Linked DNA regions of Macaca fascicularis. The protein of the gene in region 1 interacts with the protein of each later gene in a pairwise test. Links are inferred from orthologs where the notes say so. Each region holds a gene or a part of one and is shown on either strand. Other genes may lie near its edges.

Region 1 (6,802 bases):
GAGGTTGCAGTGGGCTGAGATCGTGCCATTATACTCCAGCCTGGGCAACAGAGCGAGACTCTGTCTCAAAAAAAATAAATAAATAAATAAATAAAATAAATAAAATAAAAAAGTTTATGGGGGCCAGGTGCAGTTGCTCCTCACACCTGTGATCCCAGCACTTTGGGAGGCCTAGGCGGGCAGATCACAAGGTCAGGAGACTGAGACTAGCCTGGCCAACATGGTGAAACCCCATCTCTACTAAAAACACAAGAATTAGCTGGGCGTGGTGGCAGGCGCCTGTAATCCCAACTACTTGGGAGGCTGAGGCAGGAGAATCCCTTGAACCCAGGAGGCGGAGGATGCAGTGAGCTGAGACTGCACCAGTACACTCCAGCCTGAGCATCCAGAGGGAGACTCCCTCTGGGGGTTGGGGGGAAGAAACCCCATCTCTACTAAAAATACAAAAATTAGCCAGGCATACTGGTAGGCTCCTGTAATCACAGCTACTCAGGAGGCTGAAGCAAGAGAATTGCTTCAACTTGGGAGGCGAAGGTAGAAGTGAGCTGAGGTCATGCCATTGCACTCCAGCCTGAGTGACAAGAGCAAAACTCTGACTCGAAAAAAAAAAAAAAAAGATTTATGGGGACAATGCCCCAAAGAAATAAGCAGTTTATAAATGGGTAACTCATCTTAAGGGACGAGATAATGTTAAAGATGAAGCCCACAGCAGCAGACCATCTACCTCAATTTGAGGAAAAATTCATCCTATTTGTGCCCTAATTGAAGAGGACTGACGATTAACAGCAGAAACAACCTTCAACACCACAGACATCTCAATTGGTTCACCTTACACAATTCTGACTGAACAATTAAAGTTGAGCAAACTTTCCACTCGATGAGCACCAAAACCATTGTGTCCCGTCAGCTACAGACAAGAGCACAGCTTTCAATGGCAATTTTAAACAAGTGATACCAAGATCCTGAAATATTTAAGGAACTGTAGCTAATGAAACGTGGCTTTTTTTTTTTTTTTTTTTTTTGAGACGGAGTCTCGCTCTGTCGCCCAGACTGGAGTGCAGTGGCCGGATCTCAGCTCACTGAAAGCTCCGCCTCCCGAGTTTACGCCATTCTCCTGCCTCAGCCTCCCGAGTAGCTGGGACTACAGGCGCCCGCCACCTCGCCCGGCTAGTTTTTTATATTTTTTAGTAGAGACGGGGTTTCACCGGGTTAGCCAGGATGGTCTCGATCTCCTGACCTCGTGATCCGCCCGTCTCGGCCTCCCAAAGTGCAAGGATTACAGGCTTGAGCCACCACGCCCGGCGGAAACGTGGCTTTACCAGTATAATCCTGATGAAAAAGCACATTCAAAGCAATGGCTACCAAGGCAGAAGTGGTTCAGCCAAACAAAAGTGAACCAGTCAAGAGTAGAAGTCATAGCAACAGTTTTTTGGGACGCTCCAGGCATTCTGCTTGTTGACTTTCTGGGGGGCCAAAGAATGATAACATCTGCTTACCATGACAGCGTTTTGAGAAAGTCAACCAAAGCTTTCTCAGAAAAGCAACTGGAAAAGATTCACGAGAGTCCTTGTCCATCAGAAAAATGATGCTGCTCATTCCTCCCATCAAACAAGGGCACTTTTGTCAAAGTTTCAATGGGAAATCATTACGCCTCCACCTTGTCCTGATTTGGCTGCTTCTGACTTCTTTTGTTTCCTAATCTTAAAAAATCTGCAAAGAGCACCCATTTTTCTTCAATTAATAATGTAAAAAAGACTGCACTGACATGGTTTAATTCCCAGGCCCCTCAGTTCTTTAGGGATGGGCTACATGGCTGCCATCATGGCTTACAAAAGTGTCTTGAACTTGACGAAGCTGATGTTCAGAAATAAAGTTTATAGTTTTTATCTTTTTGTTCATTTTCTCACAAACTTTTTGAAGTCTCCTCATACTATAGGTGCTGGTTTGGACAAACTAAACTTTGGGCAACATTGTGGGGTAAACTGGGCCAATTTTAATATGGGTAAGATATAGGGAGATATTAATAAATAAATAATTTTGTTACAGTTCCTCATATATAAAACTACCTTACAAAATAGTTGTAAGGCCATATGCAGTGGCTCATGCCTGTAATCCTAGCACTTTGGGAGGCCGAGGCGGGCAGATCACCTGAGATCAGGAGTTCGAGACCAGCCTGACAAACATGGAGAAACCCTGTCTTTACTAAAAAAAAAAATTGGCCGGGCGTGGTGGCACATGCCTGTAATCCCAGCTACTGGGGAGGCTGAGGCAGGAGAATCACTTGAACCCAGGAGGCAGAGGTGGCGGTGAGTCGAGATTGTGCCATTGCACTCCAGCCTGGGGAACAAGAACAAAACTCCGTCTTAAAAAAAAAAAAACAGTTGTAAGGATTAAATGAAATACACGTAAATGCGGCTGGGCGCGGCAGCTCATGCCTGTAATCCCAGCACTTTAAGTGGCCAAGGCAGGCAGATCACCTGATTTCAGGAGTTCGAGACCAGCCTGACCAACATGGAGAAACTCCATCTCTACTAAAAACACAAAACTAGCTGGGTGTGGCAGCACATGCCTGTAATCCCAGCTACTCGGGAGGCTGATGCAGGAGAACTGCTTGAACCTGGAAGACGGAGGTTGCGGTGAGCTGAGATTGCACCATTGTACTCCAACCTGTGCAACAAGAGCAAAACTCTGTATCAAAAAAAAAAAAAAAAAAAGTACATGGCATTCAGTTCACAGTAATACTTAATAAAAGATAGCTGTTATCACTAGCGGAAAGTATACAAATTCTAGGGGCTTTCATTTTTTAAGATATGGTCTCACTTTGTCACCCAGGCTGGAGTGCAGTGGCATCATCATGGCTCACTGTAGCCACAACCTCCCAGGCTCCAACAGTCCTCCCAAGTCAGCCTCCTAAGAGGTTGGGACTACAGGTTGGCTAATTTTTTACTTTTTCTTTTTGTAAAGATGGGGTCTCATTTTGTTGCCCAGGCTGGTCTCAAACTCCTGGGCTCAAGTGTTCCTCCTACCTCAGCCTCTCAAAGTGTTGGGATTACAGATGTGCACCAGTGCACCCAGTCATGAATTCTGGTTTTAACCATTTACAGTCCTTTATCCTCTGAGGCAGTAACTAAAATTTAGTCTTGTGTTGACAAAGCCATCTGTCCTGTAGGGAGTTCAATAATAAGGTCATTTCTCAAATGTACATTTCATTATCGTAAGCTAAGAACAATGATATGGTTAATAAGACACAAAAACCAAAATGCTTCTTCATTTGTCTTTCAATTCACCAAAGGCCTTTTGTGCTCTTCTATCCCTCTGGATTTGACCTTAAAATGGTAAACAGAGGACTGAAAGATCACCAGAACAGTTAGCCATCAAAGGCAGTAACTGGTGCTCCCATGCTTCACGATCTACAGGAGCTCTTCTCTTACTCACCAGCTGCTGTGATGCATTATAACCAGTGTTCCCTGATTAATCAAGCCTGATAGTCCAATGAGGAATTACAAAGATTTACAGTATGGGAAGAGCCTACACCTATTAGTGGCATCAGGCAAGTCAATCTCTTTGAGCCTTATCTATACCATATTATTACGAATCCTATACTGGAAGAGGATGACTAAGAGAATGAGGCTTAGTTGACGTAACATATGTTAAACCTACAGGACTGAGTCCAATGCAATCTTCTTTTTGCCTTTCCATATTATTAGTGATGGTTACACATACCAGTAAGAACAAGAAATAAAACTGAGGATAGAAGGAAAAAAATCCATGTTGAAAAAAAAGGAAATTTTAAATTCTATAAAAGACACAAGTATGGGCTGGGCACAGTGGCTCACGCCTGTAATCCCAGCACTTTGGGAGGCCGAGGTGGGTGGATCACGATGTCAAGATATTGAGACCATCCTGGCTTACACGGTGAAACCCCATCTCTACTAAAAAAATATAAAAAATTAGCCAGGCACAGTGGCAGGCGTTTGTAGTCCCAGCTACTCGTGAGGCTGAGGCAGGAGAATGGCGTGAACCCGGGGGGCAGAGCTTGCAGTGAGCCAAGATCACACCACTGCACTCCAGCCTGGGTGACAGAGCAAGACTCCGTCTTAAAAAAAAAAAAAAAAAAAAAAAAAAAAAAAACACACAAGTATGATCTTATTCTCAACCTTCATAAGAGCTGCCATTTACAAGAGTCTAACAACTAAAACCAGGATGTAAAAGAATAGGACAATGTGATTGGGTTGTGAATTCTACACAAAGTTGGCACTAAGTAAACATTTGGTACAAAACAATTATCAATAAAGTCTATTTCTAACTTTAAGAGTCTAAAACAACTCTACCTTGTAGCAGAACAATACAAGGTAAAGTCTTACATACCTTCAGCATTTATACTAAGTTCTGTTGAATTTCCTTCCGCAGTCGCATATGGATTGTTTCCAACCATAGGCACAAGACAATCGGTATAGAAGTAACCAATCTTAGACATATTCAGTGTAGAAATAATCAGATCCATTGCAAGCTGGCCAACATTTCCAACAGATACTGCTGGCTGAAATTATAAAAAATATGTTCAGTAAGTCACCAAAATTAGCAGCACTTTATTTTATTTTTTGAGACAGAGTCTGCCTCTGTCTCCCAGGCTGGAGTGCAGTGGTACCATCTCGGCTTACTGCAGCCTCCTCCTCCCGGCTTGAAGCAATTCTCCTGCCTCAGCCTCCTGGGTAGCTGGGATTACAGGCGTGCACCACCACACCCAGCTAATTTTTGTATTTTTAGTAGAGACGGGGTTTCACCATGTTGGCCAGGGTGGTCTGAAACTCCTGACCTCAGGTGATCCACCCGCCTCAGCCTCCCAAAGTGCTGGGATTACAGGCGTGAGCCAACACGACTGGTTGCAGCACTTCAAAAAGTTTAGACAGAAAACAACAGTCATAGTATTAGTACTGAAAGCGTCATAGCATCATGGCTAGATACTGATTTTCATTAACTACAACTGCTGGGGCCTCCTCCACCTTTGAGACTATTGATTTAACAAATACTTATTGAACGTCAGCTATGTCAATTGCTGCTCTAGGCACTGGGAACGCAGGAAAATAAACCAACAAAAGTTCACGCCCTCATGGAACTTCCATTCGAGCCAGAGTGGTTTACCTGCAATAAAACAAACAGTAAAATATACAGTGGTAAGTGCTGCGGAGACAAAGTGCGAGGATGTGTGTACACGGCTGATTTCAATTTTAAGTAGAGAGATCGAGGAAAGACTCACCCTAGGTGACAAAAGACTAGAGACCTGAAAAAGGTAAAGGAGACAGCCATACAGAGAAATGGGAAAGACCATTCCAGGCAGTGGGAAAGCAAGTGTAAAGACTACGAGGTATGAACAGAAGCTCTCTTGGGTCTTCTTACCATCTGCTTTATTAGTGCCTCTTCACTCATTCGTTGAAGTGAGCTTTTCACACTAAACACACACACAAACTCTCTTTTTCCCGTGACTTAAAATAATAAAGCTGCCAAATCCCTACCTACATCCCACAACATGTAGGAGCTCCACAACCTAATGATGTCTCCACATGGTTAGGTCACAGGAAACTCACATTCTGCAAGTCCAAAACTATAAACTTCTGCCCAAATTTGTCTCCATATTTTGTATTTTAGAAAAGTGCGCTGGGCATGGTGGCTCATGCCTGTAATCCCAGCACTTTGGGAGGCTGAGGCGGGCAGATCACCTGAGGTCAGGAGTTCAAGACCAGACTGGCCTACATGGTAAAACCCTGTCTCTACTAAAAATACAAAATTAGCCAGGTGTGGTGGCGCATGCCTGTAATCCCAGCTACTCAGGAGGCTGAGGCAGGAGAATCACTTGAACCCAGGAGGCGGAGGTTGCAGTGAGCCGAGATCGCACCATGGCACTCCAGCCTAGGCAAAAAAAAAAGCGAAACTCCGTCTCAAATTAAAAAAAAAAAAAAGTTCAACATTATTCACTCTACCTAAACTTTTTCCCATTCCCTTACCAACTACATCTAATACATGCCTAATTTTTATTGAGGTTATCCCCAAAGTATCCTTTTAATGTAGCTCCTCCTCTGCATTCTTCCAACAATTCCTTTGGTTTCTGTCCTTCAGGGTGTTCCCTCAGCATGTTCTCCACTTCTCACTGTTGTCACCTACCAATTGCCTAGTCACCTCCTGTAATTCCCTTCTCAACAATTTTGACACTTGGGTTAAACTCTGTACCATCCTTCTCTTCCTCACTATTGTATTATGTCCATCAGTACATAAACATGCTCTAATATCTTTCATTCTAGAAGATCTTGACCCCACATAGCCCTCTAGCTCAGCCTCATTTCTTGTGTCTCTATATAGCAAAAATTCTCCAAGTCACCCACAAAAACATAAGCAGAAACTTTATCTCTTATTAAAAAAATTTTTTTTCTGAGACAGGGTCTCACTCTGTCACCCAGCCTGGAGTGCAGTGGCATGATTTCAGCTCACTGCAGCCTCTGCCTCCTGGGCTCAAGTGATCCTCCCACCTCAGCTTCCTGAGTAGCTGAGATACAAGTGCAGGCCACCACACCTGGCTAATTTTTATTATTATTATTTTTTTTTGTAGAGATGAGGTATCACTATGTTGCTCAGGCTGGTCTTAAACTCCTGAGCTCAAGAGATTCTCCTGTACTTGGCCTTCCAAAGTGCTGGGATTACAGGTGTGAGCCATCATGCCTGTCTCTGAATTAATGACTGGAGATATATATATATATATATAATACAACCCAAATCTTTACTTGCTTTCTGCCATTCATTCACCCACTCC
Region 2 (6,902 bases), on another chromosome or scaffold:
CTGGGTTTGATCTTGGTTCTGCTTTCTAGGTGGGCAATTTTTTTCCAAGACACTTTCCTCATTAGTGAACTAAGGTGATATAGTTTAGACAACTGTCCACTCCAAATCTCATGTTAAAATGTGATTCCCAGTTTTGGAGGCAGGGCCTGGTGGGAAGTGACTGGATATGGGGGTAGATCCCTCATGAATGGCCTAGCACCATCCTGTTGGTGATACGTGACTGACTTCTCCCTTCTCACTCACTTCATACTAGAGCTGGTAGTTCAAAATAGGCTGGCTCCTCCTCTCTCTCATGCTCTCACCATGTGATCTGCCTGCTCCCCCTTCACCTTCCACCATGATTGGAGGCTCCTGAGGCCTCAGCTGAAGCCAAGCAGATGCCAGCACCATGCTTCCTGTACAGCCTGCAGAACTGTGAACCAGTTAAACCTCTTTTTTTAATAAATGACCCAGCCTCAGGTATTCTTTATAGCAACACAAGAACAGATGAACACGTCATGCCGGCACTGCCTACTTAAGGGGCCTGTGATGTGGAGTAAATGAAGTCAGGGTGCCAGAATAGTGACTACAGGCCTGCTGTCCAGAGGAAAAAAGTCACAAGTACACACCTGACATTCATTCCCTCTCCCACCTATCACTGACACCTGAAAAATAACTCTTATGAAATTCATTTTTGGAATTACTACACTTACAGGTAAGTTTCAATGACGGTGGTTCTAACTGTCCTCTTCTATAACAGGAAGAGTCTGGATTTGATAGATTTCTAAGAACCCCTTTACCTTTTAATAAGATCTAAAGTGATGTAAACAAAGAAAGATGGGCGGGAGGAATCCAATTGTGTTTTATACTTCTGTGACCTACCGTCCTCAATGCTGAGGACTAACTGTGTTTTATACTTCTGTACCTCAGCATTGAGGATGGTAGGTCACAGAAGTATAAAACACAATTGGTTGGTCACGTTAAATAAGCAAGTTCTTTTATTCTTTATATTCCAAAAGAAATTCCCACAATATTTTAAAGAAATAAATATCTGACTGCATAAGTTTAAGTTAAAAGACACCGAACCCATAAAAAATGAAAACTCCTGTAGACTAACCATTCACAGGTTTTCGTTTCTCTCTTACCTTTTCCAGCCACTGATACTGCTGATCTTCTGCAACGTAGCAACTGCATTGACAGAGGAAAACCTGAAAAGTCAAGTTCCACGTTTTTTGTCAAGTAAGTTTTACACACATCCCAAACTATCACCATATATGTAACATGTGAATGACAACACTTAGGTAATACTTATTTTCCTGGCTCCACTATTGACCTACTCTCTTTAAAATTTAAGAGTCAAACCACTACTGGTGATTAGTATCAGAAAAAGTGCACACTGACAGAGCAACTGAAAGACTTGCCATACTAAAGTATACTACCAGTAAATACCATATAAGTGATACTTAAATAACTACTTTTCGAACACACAAGTCCCACCTACCGAGGGATTGGATTTGAGATGATAAAACCCACAAAAAGCCTCTGTGGAGGATAGATGTGTAGTGTCTGCTGTTCTACACCATTCATTCCAGAGTTTAGCACAACCAACTTCTTCCCAGACTCCTGAATTCATAACAAATGATGACAGAAATGCTGTAAAAAAACAATTCACATAAGTTAGTGTTTGGCTCTGCAAGCTGTATCTTCTATTCAATAAAAAGCAAGCTCAAGTTACTGTAGAATTTGAGAGCTGTAAGAGCCATTCAAGACCATCTACCTAATACCACCATTACACAGAAAAAGAAACTGAGGCTCCCAAGAAGTAAAAGGCCACACCCTGATTAAGACAATCCTAGAGCTAGGGATCAAGAAGGCAGGTTTGCTGACAGACTTTCTACCACGTGCTCATGGGGTAATACTCTTCTGAAAACCTTTAGGCCAGCAGAACTTTATATAAATGAGTCCATAGTTACTTGCCATCATGCACTTACTATGTTCTACAAGCACTAGGGGTACCTTACAGAGGAAGGAATCTTAACTGGGTTTCCTGAATGTTCTCATCAGAACCTGTGAACACCCTAAAAATATTAAGGTATATGTGTGTATTTGTACATGTATATTGTCCTAGCTGCACTCTACACTGTTTTTACTTTAATCCACCAAGCGAATTAATACATGCAAGGACCTTAGAACTTAAGTACTTAAACATGTTGATAATTATTACTGTCTTTAGAGTTTTCATTGTGTTCTCAAAGGAGTCCATTAACTCACAAACATTTATATAAATCCAGATACGTCAACACACTAGAAACAGCTCCTTGAGTTTTGAGTTCCTGAGGCTAAAAACATTTTCTTTAAAGCTTTTCTCTGAGTTGGGGTCTTGCTTTGTCACCCAAGCTGGAGCATGATCAGTGGGAGGATCATGGCTCACTGCAGCCTCAAAATCGTGGGCTCAAGCAATCCCCCCATTTCAGGCTCCTCAGTAGCCAGGACTACAGGCAAGCACCACCATGTCTGGCTATATTTTTTCATTTTTTTGTAGAGACAGCGTCTCGCTATGTTGCCCAGGCTGGTCTCAAATCCTGGCCTCAAGTGATCCTCCTGCCTTGGCCTCCCAAAGAGCTGGGGCTACAGATGTGAGCCACTGCACCCAGCCTAAATCTGACCTTTTCAGTTTATTAAAAAGATAATGCAGGCCAGGTGCTGTGGCTCACACCTGTAATCCCAGCTCTTTGGGAAGTTGAGAGCAGGAGGATCACTTGAGGACAGGAGTGCAAGACCAGCCTGGACAACACAGCGAGAAACCATCTCTACCAAAAAAAAAAAAAAAGATGCAACATGAACAGGAGAGAGATTTTACTCAGAAATACACTCTGCTGTGGCTTTTTAAAGTACCAAACATTTTAAATCTTTTATGATAGAAGAATATAAGTAACGTTATATTTCATTCTTTCAACAAAATGACTAAGTCTTCTGCATTTTCACTTACCTACTGCATTATTTCCTATAGCAATTATAAACTTGGAGCACGGATATTTTTCTAGCAAAGAAACTTCCAAAGATGTTTTTGTTTGTCTTCGAAGGAGCCGCACCTCCCTAACACAAGAAACAAGATGAAACTAAAGCAACTTCAATACAAACAGTATCATATTATGGCAAAAGGGCACTATATGTATGTATTACAATAAATAAAATGCACGTTAGTTTTATAAAGAATATAACTAATATCGTCAGAAAACGATGGACTCAGGCAACGATAACCAACAGATAAAACTATTGCATACGTGTTTAGGGAGAACTCTAAAATAGTGGTCAGGCTGTCCACCTGACCCAAGGATCAATCTTAGATCCCTAAAAGTGAGACAACTTGGAGATAGCCTGCAACAAGAAACAGAAAGCACCACTTAGTAGAAGCATTCTTGCCGACAAAACATTGAATGTGAATCTGACCAAACCTACAAATGAACATTCATTTACAGGACATGCAGGTGAAACACACGTTAAGTGATACCACAAGGAAGCTATCAGACAAATTCAGAGTGTGGGGCACTGGACAGGTCAGCCAGTCCTGTCTCTTAGGAGGGCTAAGAGAAGGCTGCTCTAAATGAAGTGACACGTCTAAATGTAACCTGTAGACCCTGTTAGGATCCTCATTCACACAAACCACTGTAAAATATCATGTTTGAAAAAACTAGGTAAACGTGAGTGAGCATGGACTATGAAATCATACTGAAAAGTTAGTATTAGTGTTGTTAGAGGTGATAATAGCGTATGTAAGAAAATCCCTAAAACGTTTGAGATGTATTCTGAAAAATGCAGAATTTGTGAAAGGTCATGATGACTGGAATTCGCTTAGAGTGGCGAGAGAGGAAATAAACGTGGCAAAATCTTCCCGTTGAATTTACCTGGTTGTGTTAGGGGTCAGGGCTCACTTGACTATTTTCTCCCACATTTTTATGTGTTTGGAAACAATTTTTTTAAAGAGTGTTCATCTGCTACTGAAATATTATGCTAATTGAAGTGTGGGGTGGAGGTTTAAAAAGTTTTGAGGGAATCGGTGCGTCCCTCAAAGGAGCAATCCACGACAAACGTCGTGGGACCCGCGGGAGCGCTGCGGCCCAAGATAATGTGACAAGAAGCGGGAAGATCACGAGTCCTCAAGACACCAAGCCTCCAGGAAGCCTTTAAAGAACGGTTTTGAACCCAGCCCTCCCACAGCGGCTTCACCCTGGACTCCACGAAACGCCAGCGGATCCACCCGAGCACCGCACCCACCTGGGGCTGGCGCCGACGGACTCCGCGGCTTCACGGAGACCCAGGGCCCAAGCAGAGCCACGGAGCGGCGGCAACCGCGGGGATTACTCGGAAGACCGCGGAGCCCCGGCCTTCGGTGCCGTCGCCGCTGCGAGGCCCGCGCACTTTCCAGCAGCGGAGAGCGCGCCTCCCTTATCCGGGTGCCTCACCTCTTCCGCGCCAGCTGTTGACGCACCTCCCTGTCCTCGGGCGTCTCCCTCCGCCCCTCCTCCTCCTCCTCCTCGTCCTCCGTCCCAGCTCGGCATGGCGCCTTCACCACCTCTCCGAAGAACGTGGCCGCCATAGCCGACCCGGGACCGGCTGGACACAACTGCGGCGCCGCGGGACGGCGCACGCCAGCATGCGCGAGACCAAGCTCCCTCACCGCGCAGGCAATAAGTCCCGCCCCGCACAGGCCACGCCCTCCGCGCACAGCCCGAGCTCGCGGCCACAACCCCACGGCGCGGGCGCCACGCCCCCAGACGCATCAAGAGCTTGCGGCCACGCCCTCTACAGTGCTCGCCCGCGCTGCCACGCCTTGGGCCAGGATTACCCGCAGTTTGTTTTTAAATTACAGATTGTGGGGTTGGGGGTCTCGCTGTGTTGCCCAGACTGGTCTCGAACTACTGGGCTCAAGCGATACTCCTGCTTTGACCTCCCAAAGTGCGTGGATACAGGCGTGAGCCACCGCGTCCGGCCCCCAAATGCTTTCATTCGCAGCTTGAGCCCTGCGGGCGTCGAGAGGTGGGAGGACTGCGGGCTAGAGGGGCAGGGGGGCGAGAGGAGGGCGGGGCCTCCAGTCGCGGCGGTAGCGAAACCAGGGATGCAGGGGCGGCGCCGGCGCCGCTGGCGGTGGCGTCTGGGAGCTGTGAGGCCTTTCCCTTTTCCTTCTGCGATAGGAGAGACTGGGGGAACCTTAGGGCACCCGCTCCAAATTTCGACTGCCCAGGTAGGTGGCCGCGCGGTGGCACTGAGGGCCCCCGGAGCCAGGCGCGCCCTCTGATAGCGGGCACGGGCGGACGCAAGGGCAGCAAGAAATACAGCGCTTCGTGGTGGTATAAAAATGAGACTTTTACTCTGGCAATAGGTATTCACATTTCAAAAGCTGATGATTGTCAAGCCGATTTTAAAAACATTTTTATGAGAATGTAAAAAATAGTGTATTTTTTAAACTTGGCCATTTTCTAATACAAAATGTTTCTTTTTAAATAGCCTTTAATTAAGCAAAATGTGTGATTAATTGGTTCTCTTTCAAATGTGCTGGAAGACAAAGTTCGAGGAGCACTGTTTCAAGCAAGAGAAAAAGGGGACATAATTTAAATGAAAATGAAAATATGCAGTAATGCAATGAAAAATAAAAACTGTTTCCTAGATTTAGTTGTACGGAAATACATGACATCGCCTGCATGTTGTGACTTTGTCAGTAGTCACAAAGGTAAGTACTACTTTGGGGTCAGAGAGAGCCTGTTGAGATAAAATCTCAAAGCTGCTAGAAACATTTTAAGATGTGGAAAAATAATGATCAACAAAATCATTTACATAAAATTAGTGTTTAGCAGATCTACACATCTGCAAAAAAAAAAAAAAAAGTGTGAGTTTGGAAGCAAAATTTGAACATTTAGCAATAAAATTAAGACTAAATTGCTAGCCAGTAAGAGCTTAGGAAACTTTGGATATCCTTAGTGAGATGGAATAAACAAGATTACCAAAATGATGTTTTAAAACATTAGGACTCCTGGGTTAATTGGTCTATTATAATGATGGAACTGCAGAATAAAAAGGTTGTTTGGGCACCACTTGTCTTAGTCCTTTTGTTAATTTGTCATTTTTACCAGTAAAGATCTTCAATTTGATTTCACAGTTCCATTATGAAGAAATATTTTCTGCAAAGCAAATTACTGTAAATAGAGTAATAGTAATATATTTGGCCATGATTTAAATTCTGCACACATTTCAGAGAGAACAATTTTACAATGTTAAGTTTTAAGCAAATGCTTATTTCATGCAGTTACAATAAGTTAGGCCACTTTTTAAAAAGGCAAATATCTTCGAATTAAATACTTAGCCAAAAAAGGATTCCATTATGCAAGACTGATAATACAGTCTCAAATACTGACAGAAATTAACCCCACCACAGCAAATTATAAATTAAAAGCTTAAATTCTTTCGTTACACTGAAATTGCCAAAAAAAAAAAAAAAAAAAAAACCTTTGCATAAAATAGTCTTCACTGAGAGTTAAGTACTTCATTTTATAGTTATTTGTTGAGGACATAATAGACTCAAGAAATGTAAATTAAGTAAATTTTGAACTGGAAAGAAGTTTAAGCATTTCATTAGAACTCAAAAATCAAAACCCATGCACCTAAAAGTAATAGCAGTTTATTAGGAATTCTTCCCTTCTCACCTGTGCATCAACATACTGGGGATCAGTAGTTTAGATGAAAGTATACTACAAAAGGAGCAAAGGACACAGACTTAGTAGGTTAGAATATTCTGGCTTATGCTAAAAAACAAAAGCCTTTTTTTAAAACAGACATGCAACCACAAATTTCTCAAGTATTTTGGACACTTGGTTCATCTGTATAACAACAAAAAAAAATGCATTTGACTTAAAAAATAGAAAACCCTA

The links.
Region 2: the proteins of PSMG2 (region 1) and PSMG1 interact in binary tests that used the Homo sapiens proteins (3 or more experiments, as listed by UniProt). The link is inferred for Macaca fascicularis from reciprocal best matches to the Homo sapiens genes PSMG2 and PSMG1.

Annotation. Positions count from the first base shown.
Region 1 is NC_088392.1:80,765,395-80,772,196, reverse strand, and holds part of PSMG2 (proteasome assembly chaperone 2), read right to left. Parts: intron 4,541-6,802; coding exon 4,369-4,540; intron 2,363-4,368; exon of another isoform or gene 1,606-2,362; coding exon of another isoform or gene 1,497-1,605; intron 1-1,496. UniProt on the Homo sapiens protein: Chaperone protein which promotes assembly of the 20S proteasome as part of a heterodimer with PSMG1.
Region 2 is NC_088377.1:7,819,785-7,826,686, reverse strand, and holds the start of PSMG1 (proteasome assembly chaperone 1), read right to left. Parts: upstream 4,608-6,902; 5' UTR 4,577-4,607; coding exon 4,443-4,576; exon of another isoform or gene 4,255-4,442; intron 3,076-4,254; coding exon 2,969-3,075; intron 1,633-2,968; coding exon 1,481-1,632; intron 1,188-1,480; coding exon 1,125-1,187; intron 1-1,124. UniProt on the Homo sapiens protein: Chaperone protein which promotes assembly of the 20S proteasome as part of a heterodimer with PSMG2.